2 linked regions of the Arabidopsis thaliana genome follow. The protein of the gene in region 1 interacts with the protein of each later gene in a pairwise test. Each region holds a gene or a part of one and is shown on either strand. Other genes may lie near its edges.

Region 1 (4,846 bases):
TGCATCATCACTTTGGCTTTTGATTGGTAATCTCTATCGCATGGTACAATATTTAATGCTTTAATAGTTTACTAAACACAAAAGTATATCTACAACTATTCTAGTATTTTTTTGTACTATTGTATTTTTTGTACCTGTATTTTTTTTACTTCTTTCAACTATTCTAGTATTTTTAAAACTTTTTCCGCTTTTTTGTTTTTACCATTTTGTGTCACCAATCGAATCCGTTTGAATTAAGTTTTTTACATGGAACCAATTAAAAGAATATTCGTATATCTAAACTCCAATTATGTGTTGTACTTTTTTTTTTTTTTTGCCACGATATGTTAACATTATCAATTGCAAATTTTTTTATGGACTTTAATTGAGTTTTAAAAATATTTGACTTCTTTGAAATTATAAATAGTCACAATCCATAGCTGTGAAAGTTGGCATTATAAAACAAAATAAGCCATTGAAAAAACACATGCGATATATATCCCGTCTAGTTTTCAATTGTATAAAACTATAAATTGTTGATTGAATAAATGATAGTAATGTTTTAAAATGTTAAGCATTTTTAACCCCAAAAAGTGTTGCATTTAGTCATTTTGCAATGATGCTTCGGGAGTTGAAAGTTAATAAAAATTACAGATTCTGCTATCGAAGATTATAACGATATATTAAAGTTGCTTAACTTCGATACATGCACTCATATAGAGAAATACATATGATCAAGCAACAAGGATTTATCGTCTTTCCCTTGCAAAAATACATAGAAGATACCAAAAAAATGAAGTTAAAAGTTTGAGATTTCGACAAATTTTGGAGATCTTTCTCAAGGAAGAGGAGGAACATTAGAAACTCCTTGACGTTGTAACTCCGTCATAACACCGTCAACCGACGGCGGTTTCAGTCCCAAAGGAAGCGGCAGCCACGGCTTTGATATAACGTCCCCAATAGCTGCATCTATGCTCTCATTCGACTGCAACCGTCAAGTAATGAAATATTGTTAATTATCCAAAATTTATTCGAAAACTTTTTTGGGTTATGTCATAATCAAAATCTAATAAACAAAATTGAAACCAAAAAAGGTGCACTCACGGGATGAATGTCGATGGGAGGATTAGTGGGTCCTAATTGTCTTGTGGGAACACCGATGCTTGAATGATTCGATGATGCCATACCATATCCCTACACATATATACACATAAACCATGATTAGAAATATGTTTTTGTAAAATCCATACATAATTCATAGCTCTAAATCTTTATTAGTTGTCTACATAAAAATGATTCATGATCTTGCAATCTTTTACTAATTGCGTTGTTAGACAAAACCACAATCTAATTCAATGATTCCGTTTTATACTTATATATGTTGCATGTGTTAAAAAGCCAATAGTGTACAAAGACTAGCTTTTTGCAGTGTCATGATTGTTCAACAAAGCTGATTTAGTTATGTCATTTCGATTATTTTTCATGATTTAACCATACAACTAATAATGGAAAAACATGTAACATTTTTACAAATGAATTATTATTACCTGTGGATAGAGTGGTTGCTGATGCCAGTACGGTGGATGACCTGGCCAAGATGCCGGAGCCGCCGCAATGGCCGGCATTGGATACGTCCGATGAGCAGACGCCGGAGTATTAGGCTTGTGTTTTGGCCACGTAGGATGACCCCATACGTGCAAAGGCCTGAAGTGACCATGATGCATTGGTGCCACGTGTGGAGGATAGCCTAAGGCAGGAGCTGTCCACGGCTTCTTCCCTCCTCCTCCTACTCCGGGCACTGCCACCGTGGCATGTCTCCGGAGATTCCAGCTGGCAGCTTCTGCTTCACGCGCTAGTAGATGTTTCCGATGTGACCTATATTTCTATCATTACAAGAAGAACACAACACAAATTAATCTTATTACACAAATCTGAGTTGGTTAGTATTTTACTTGTCTTTTCATAAAAAATTTTGAAGGAAAAACATGTAATCTATAAATTAGGTAATTACTATGTTAGGGGTTATAGCACTTGATTAATTCCTGTTAAAATTAGTTTGTATAGTTTTAGTCTAAAATTTACCTGAAGATGGCTAGCAACGTTGTGACGAGTGAGAGATTTAACGTTCATAATTTCCAAGATTCGAGACGGCACCGCCTTGTCTACCCCTAATTGCTCCACCGCTTGTACAAATTTCCGGTGTAACTCCGGCGTCCAATCCACCTGATTTGCCGGAACAATATATTAATTAATCAATAAATGAAAAGAAAAAAAAGGAATTCATTTTTTTTATAGAAAATTGTCTTACAGTTTTATAAAAAAAAATATTTAGTCCAAATAAACACACAAATTTGTATAGTCCTACTACACAAAACTTGGTTTTGGTCCTAGATCTACTCCAGTTATCAAACTTAATAATAATTGTGTATATGATAAATACACTAATTCACTAACTTTGTAAAAAAAATATTCAGAAACACTAGAAGTTTATGTTTTTTTAATGAAATCCTTAAAAAGGTTGGTGATTTCTTAATGGGATTTTTTACCTTTAAAGAAGAAAAAAAATAAACTAATCTAACATGGATAATTGGGAAATAAACACACCTTAGGTTTTTTCTTAATATCGTTCTCATCGGATAAACAATCTTTACTTTTCTTCCCTTTACGTTTGCCTCGACGCACCGTTTTGTCCCTAAAACCACCGTCACCACCACCACCACCCTCTTGCTTACACACACCAACGTCTCTCTCCGATGTCTCCGATGCCGTCGAAGTGTTACCCTCCATTTCTTGTTCCTCATCTCTTCCGCTACCGGAATATTCCCCAAGAATCTCCGAATCTATCTCCAAATCCGGCAAAACATCGTCTCCATCGAAACCAATGAAAAGATCGTCGTAGTAATCGATTCCATCAAGAAGATCATCGGAAAAATCCCCGACCGTCGTAAAGTCCGGCAAGTCTTCCGTCGTAAAATCTGCGAAATCTGCCGCCATGTAAGTATCCTTTGAGTTGTTTCCGATGAGTACTGGAGCCGGAGAAACAGTTAACATCGGAATCGTAAAAAAATGAAAATTCTAAAGGTTTTTTGAAAAATTTAGAGAAAACAAGAATGATACAGTGAAAGTAGTATATGAGTGTATATATATATATAGACGTGTGTGTCTGAATAGATATAGATAGTTCCAAGGTTTTATTAAAATCTTTTATATGCCGTATATATGTGTTGGTGGATACTGACATGAAAAATAAGTTGTGGTTGAGAGATAGGAGAGAGAGATTTTTAAGTTTTTTTATTCTTTTCGTAAATTTAATATTTTATTTTTGAAAATATTCAATTCAATACCATATTTTATATTCTAGTATAAGTTTATAATTGACAGTTTCCTTTTAAACATTATGGCTGTATTACAATGAATGGAAAAAATTACAAGAGCTATTAAAGATTTAAAGAGTCAAATATAGGAAATGAGAAATATTTTTGTCTATGTATACACTATTGAAATGCTCCTTTCTTGGTTGTCCCAAAAATAAAGAGGAAATGCTTTCTACATTTTTTTAGTATTTGCATAAAATGACAAAACTTTGACGACTAGCAATTAAGCAAATGCGTAAGTATTTTTTTAATAAAAAGTGATTTTTTTTTACATTTTGGAGTATAAGACTAATAATTATTTTGGGAAAAATTCAAAAATACCATTAATATTTTCTATTTATAAAAATATCAAATTTATTTTATCCATTTTCAAAAATATCACAAATATATGGATATAAAAAATTATAGAGTATGTTATAAGAAAGTTTATAAAGTCTCTATAACACATGTTATTGAGTCTTTGTAAAGTTTTGAAATTGTATGAGGTTTTGTACTTTTGTACGTCAAATTTTAAAATGATATTTTAAACAAATTTTCATTAATGCTTTTTTGAAAGTGGCATAAAAAATTGGTGCCTCAAAAAGTTTCCTAATTTTTCACAGTATGTTACTTCTTTTTTTTTTTATGTGGATTTCTTATTCATAAAATTATTTTTTATGTGTTTTACTTACAAAGTATAAAATGTTACAAAATGCATGCTTTTTCGTCTAATTATGCTATTTTAGAATCAAGCGCTACTACTATATAATAAGATTTTGTATAGCTTATATATATATATATATATTTATATATATAATAATAATTTTCTACATATTTGTTTGGGTATAAGTTTTAAGATCCATGATTTTTTTTAAGGAAAACGTTGTAAGAGTCCAATTTATTAAAAATAGTGGTGCATAAAGATAATTTAAAATAATTATTTGATTATTTATTTCACCAAAATGCATTTATCTTTGATGATATTCATCCTCAAAAACCACCAAAATTATACGTGTTTGAACTAATATAATTAAAGAATTGGTATCCTACAAATAATTTATTTAAACGACATTTTATGATAATAACGACAAATAAGAGTAAAGTCTATGATCGGATAGAATGGTTGTTCATAGTAGCAATAATTAATACGGTGTAGATTTCGACATACTGGATTATGGCGTGTATAAGATTTGTCTTGTTTCGGATCTTAACTAACACAAAACCTAAATGTTACATTTATCAAAAACGGTTTTTTACAAGGCGATTTGTTTTCTCCTTGGTTTTTCTTTTAGTTTTATTTTTTACAGAACTGATGTGGATATTCATAAATCATAGATAAAACAATTTATCCTACTATATTATTTGGGAAGTACATTTTAAATGTAACCTTAATTTTTGTAAGTAATTACATAGGTATGCCATTAGAAATAAAATTTTAAAGAGTAAATTAATTTATCTCTTTAAGGATTAAAAAGTCAAATACTAATTTAATTAATTTAATTAATTAAAAACGA
Region 2 (3,990 bases), 3.8 Mb from region 1:
AAAATGTCATATGGATCCCAAAAATCCATCTAAAAAAAACACCTACCACCAACATGTTCGAATTCTAGAACATTGCCACACACTTGTCTTTAGAAAGAGTTCTTGAATGATATTCGAAAATGGTTACAAAAAGTTTGTGATGTGTTTGGAACTCTTTCCAAAACATTTCCATCATAAACATGAATTTCTGATAATGTTCGAATTTAGGATTTGATAGTAATTTTCGGAATAATAAATGATATAATTTTGTGTTCTGTACAATTAATTAATTTACATTTTATTTTGAAGTTTATATTACTGACAAAATTTAAGATTAACATGACTATTACAAGACAAAACACCTCTTCTCAACCAGACCAAACCCAAAGGCCAAAACCTCTCAGTTCACTGGCCACGACCGTAATTTGCGCCTCATAGTATGACTTTACAAAGAGAATGCCACTTTGGCTTTTCTAAAATTAAATAATTAATTAACAAAAAATAAATAAATGCCAAATGCTTTGAAAATTAAACACGTTCGTGCAACTAATAACGCAATTACTTAAATAAATAAAGAATACAGAATAATTAAACTATTTTTCCACTATTTCTCCAAAACTGTTTTACAAGCTCCTGACAAAACTAAATAAATTATTAAAAAAGAAACAAAAAAGCTCATGAACTTATGAAAGAAAAAAAAGTAACACCAAAATTTTTCAGTCACACCATAGATATTTGCTTGATGGTTTCTTCTTCACTCTCATCATCATATTAAGCAACTAATAGATCTGATATCAATGAATCATCAAAATCACTAAACGTTGAACCCATATCTTTGATACTAGAACTTGTTAACTCATCTTCAATGTTCATAGTTTCACCACCCAAGAACAACATATCATTGAAGATATCATCATTTTCACAGAAAATTTGATCCATTGGTTGGTCAAATATTGACATCTCTGGTGGTGATTCATTGAAATAGTTGTCAAGAAACGGAGTATCCAAAGGAAATGAATCGTCTGATTCACCTAAACCGGTATTAAACCCGGTATGCCACCATGGTGCATTTGAAACCCCCGGTTCGGGTTTAGCTGATTTAAACGGTTGTTGTACTTGTTGAATCTCTTCTGACCGGTGATTGAGAACCGAAGTAGGAGATGAGAGATGTTGTAAATCTTCTTCAGTTGATTCAGAACTCGATGTTGTTGGTGTTGGCGTCGTCATAATAACCGGTTTCTCCTCAATAACCGGTTCCGGTTCTTCTTCTTCTTCCTCTTCTTGAGGCGGTATGGAGAAATTAGTTAAAGCGTCCGGTCCACGGAGTCTTATAGCGGCGTTATCATAAACCACGGCAGCTTCCTCCGCCGTCTCAAAAGTCCCGAGCCAAATCCTCCGACGTTGCTCCGGATCTCTAATCTCCGCCGCCCATTTCCCCCATGGCCGTTGTCTAACACCACGGAACTTCTTTATCTGACCGGAGACTGAAACTTTGTTATTAGGACGTTGACGACTCGACGCCGGAGATTGAGTTTCATCGGAGGAAGAAGAGAGTCTCTTTCTATCTTTCATCGAAACTCCGGTGACGACGTTGTTACAGCTAGGCTCAACAGTGATCTCGTTAACGAATCTTTTGACTCTCCGGCGAGGAAACAAGAAATCTTCTTCGTCTTCGTCACTTGATGAATCTGTTGCGTCAGGATCAGTATAACAAATACTAACCTTTTTCAATGACTTACCACCGGAAAGTTTTTCCGATGACTTTTTGGTGTATTTAGTCATTGAAGTCTTGTGCTCTGTGTACTTCAATGGTCGGAAATCAATATATTCGTCCATTACTGTTTCTTTTATGGACTCTCTCTATATTCGCATCAAAATGAAGAATATAAAAGGAAGAAAAGCTTGCGAATCAAGGAAAGTTTCTGGGTTTGTTGAGAGAGATTTCGAGAGAATCAAGAAGAAAATAAAACAAAGTTTGAAGAGATTTATCACGAGATTTTTTGGTAACAAGAACAAAAGATTTTTTTTTGGTGGGTGAGAGAGAAAAACGTGTTATGAAACAGTGATTTTTTTTAGCGATTCGCAAGTGGAGACCTTCTCTAGCTCACTCTTGAAATGCTAATTTATAGGATCTCTTCGGGGTTTTAGCCATAATTATTTTATTCATTTTTACAAAAGTAAACAATAAATTCGAAAACTATATAATATATAATATTTAATATCATTTGATTTCTTTCCTTGTCGAAGCTGTTTCTTTCCGCTCCTCCATCAGTGGCATTTTTCCGTAATTAACTACAAAACTCCAAGGGTAGTTTCGGGTATAAGAGAGTTGTTTAAAAATACGGGACGCCGCATTCATGAGCGCAAGTCGCATGGTGACACGTGGCGATATTAGATATTTGGCTCCTTCCTGTATGTGCTGAGTCAGCGCGTGGCTTCTAGTCTCGAATTTCGCGATTCATGTCACGTGACCCCCAAGATACCCGGTCCCGGTTTTTTTAAATTTTTTTTTACCTTTTTAGTTTATTTGATACTAATAATAAAAACAAATTTACTTACTACTTCTCAACAAATTTTTTATCACTCCACTAGCTTTGACCGACATTAAGTAATTAATGATGATTGTTGAGGGTAACTTCGTCTATTTGAATGCAATTTTTCAACTTGTCACGTACGAATGTTGAGGGTAATAAAATAAATGCGATTTTTTAACTGTTAGGGAAATAAAATAAATGCGATTTTGTCAAAGTTGAATACGTTGTATTATACAATATACATTTTTCCATGTTAGATAATCGAATAATGTTAATTTAGGGAAGATGAATATGTGACTGAGGAAGTTATGTATTTAATTTTAGATATTAAAATGATTTTAGGACGAAAATATCTTTGAATCAATATAAATATGGTAGTTAAATTGAAATGTTACCATTTTACAGCTAGAAGTAACGTGGCGAGCAACCTAGGATTTGCCGCCATTTATAATTCGGTGGTGTGGTACGTCTCTAGGCTTTTTTCTGTACTCTTTGTTCCCTCACTCGCTCTTCCACCACTGCTTGCTATTCGTACTTTCCACGCGCTTCTCAAGTATCTTTTTTTTTTTTTTTTTTTGAAAACTATATTTTTGATTTGTTGTAAAAACAATCTTCTACTAATATCTTTTTGTTGGGGTTTTTACTTGGGTTTAGGGATATCAAAGCTTACTACATCTGTTCCTAATTTTTTGGACTAGTAAAAAAATTATTTTTCTGTTTGGATGGCAATGAGATTTGAAATTATGTTATTGTAAACCAAGATATGATATACTTGCTTTTTAAATAAAAAAAATTATGATTGTATTTTAATTAAGTAGCCATTTTAATTTTAAATTTTACTCTCTCTAGTTCATAAATAGTGTAATTTAGAATCGTTTTTTTCTCGGAAATATGTGATGTTACATTTCTGATATATTAAATAGGAACATTTAAATAACTTGAAGATGTAAAAGACTTTTTGTTGCTCAATAAACATAAACCATGTACATTTGATAGAGAAAATGTGTCAAATTAAAAGCTAGTTTACATACATATAACTTAAACACAAAACACAAACTCTATGCATGTACATATATTAAAGAGTTAAAGACAGTTAAGCCAAAAACAAAACTGGTCTAAATTAACATAGATGCATGATTTAGAACATAATAACATCTTCATACCAACCTGTTACAAACTTTATGAAGCAATCTGCAAAAGACTATCTCTTGCTGCTAATCCGTTACAAACTTTATGAAGCATTCTGCAAAAGACTATCTCTTGCAGCTAATCTGTTTTGATAAACTGTCTTTGAACTCATCTTGATCAATTTGTTGAAAGCCGTTTAAAATCCAAAAATAAATTTAAAGATTTTCATATTATGGTTTCGAAAGTTGAGTAGGCTTTACCAAATTTATTCTATTAATTACTAACTTGCTTGCTTTTTTTTAAGAAAAAATATATCTTGAGTTGTTAAAAGTCGCTATGAGTTTTATGT

What was found. The genes of interacting proteins can lie anywhere in the genome.
Region 2: the proteins of GLK2 (region 1) and CRF3 interact in a two-hybrid assay, tested with the Arabidopsis thaliana proteins (one large-scale study listed by BioGRID).

Annotation. Positions count from the first base shown.
Region 1 is NC_003076.8:17,796,619-17,801,464, reverse strand, and holds GLK2 (GOLDEN2-like 2), read right to left. Parts: upstream 3,185-4,846; 5' UTR 3,031-3,184; coding exon 2,584-3,030; intron 2,203-2,583; coding exon 2,062-2,202; intron 1,863-2,061; coding exon 1,527-1,862; intron 1,174-1,526; coding exon 1,084-1,173; coding exon of another isoform or gene 1,039-1,083; exon of another isoform or gene 965-1,038; coding exon 818-964; 3' UTR 539-817; downstream 1-538.
Region 2 is NC_003076.8:21,617,211-21,621,200, forward strand, and holds CRF3 (cytokinin response factor 3), read right to left. Parts: upstream 2,072-3,990; 5' UTR 1,816-2,071; coding exon 751-1,815; 3' UTR 504-750; downstream 1-503.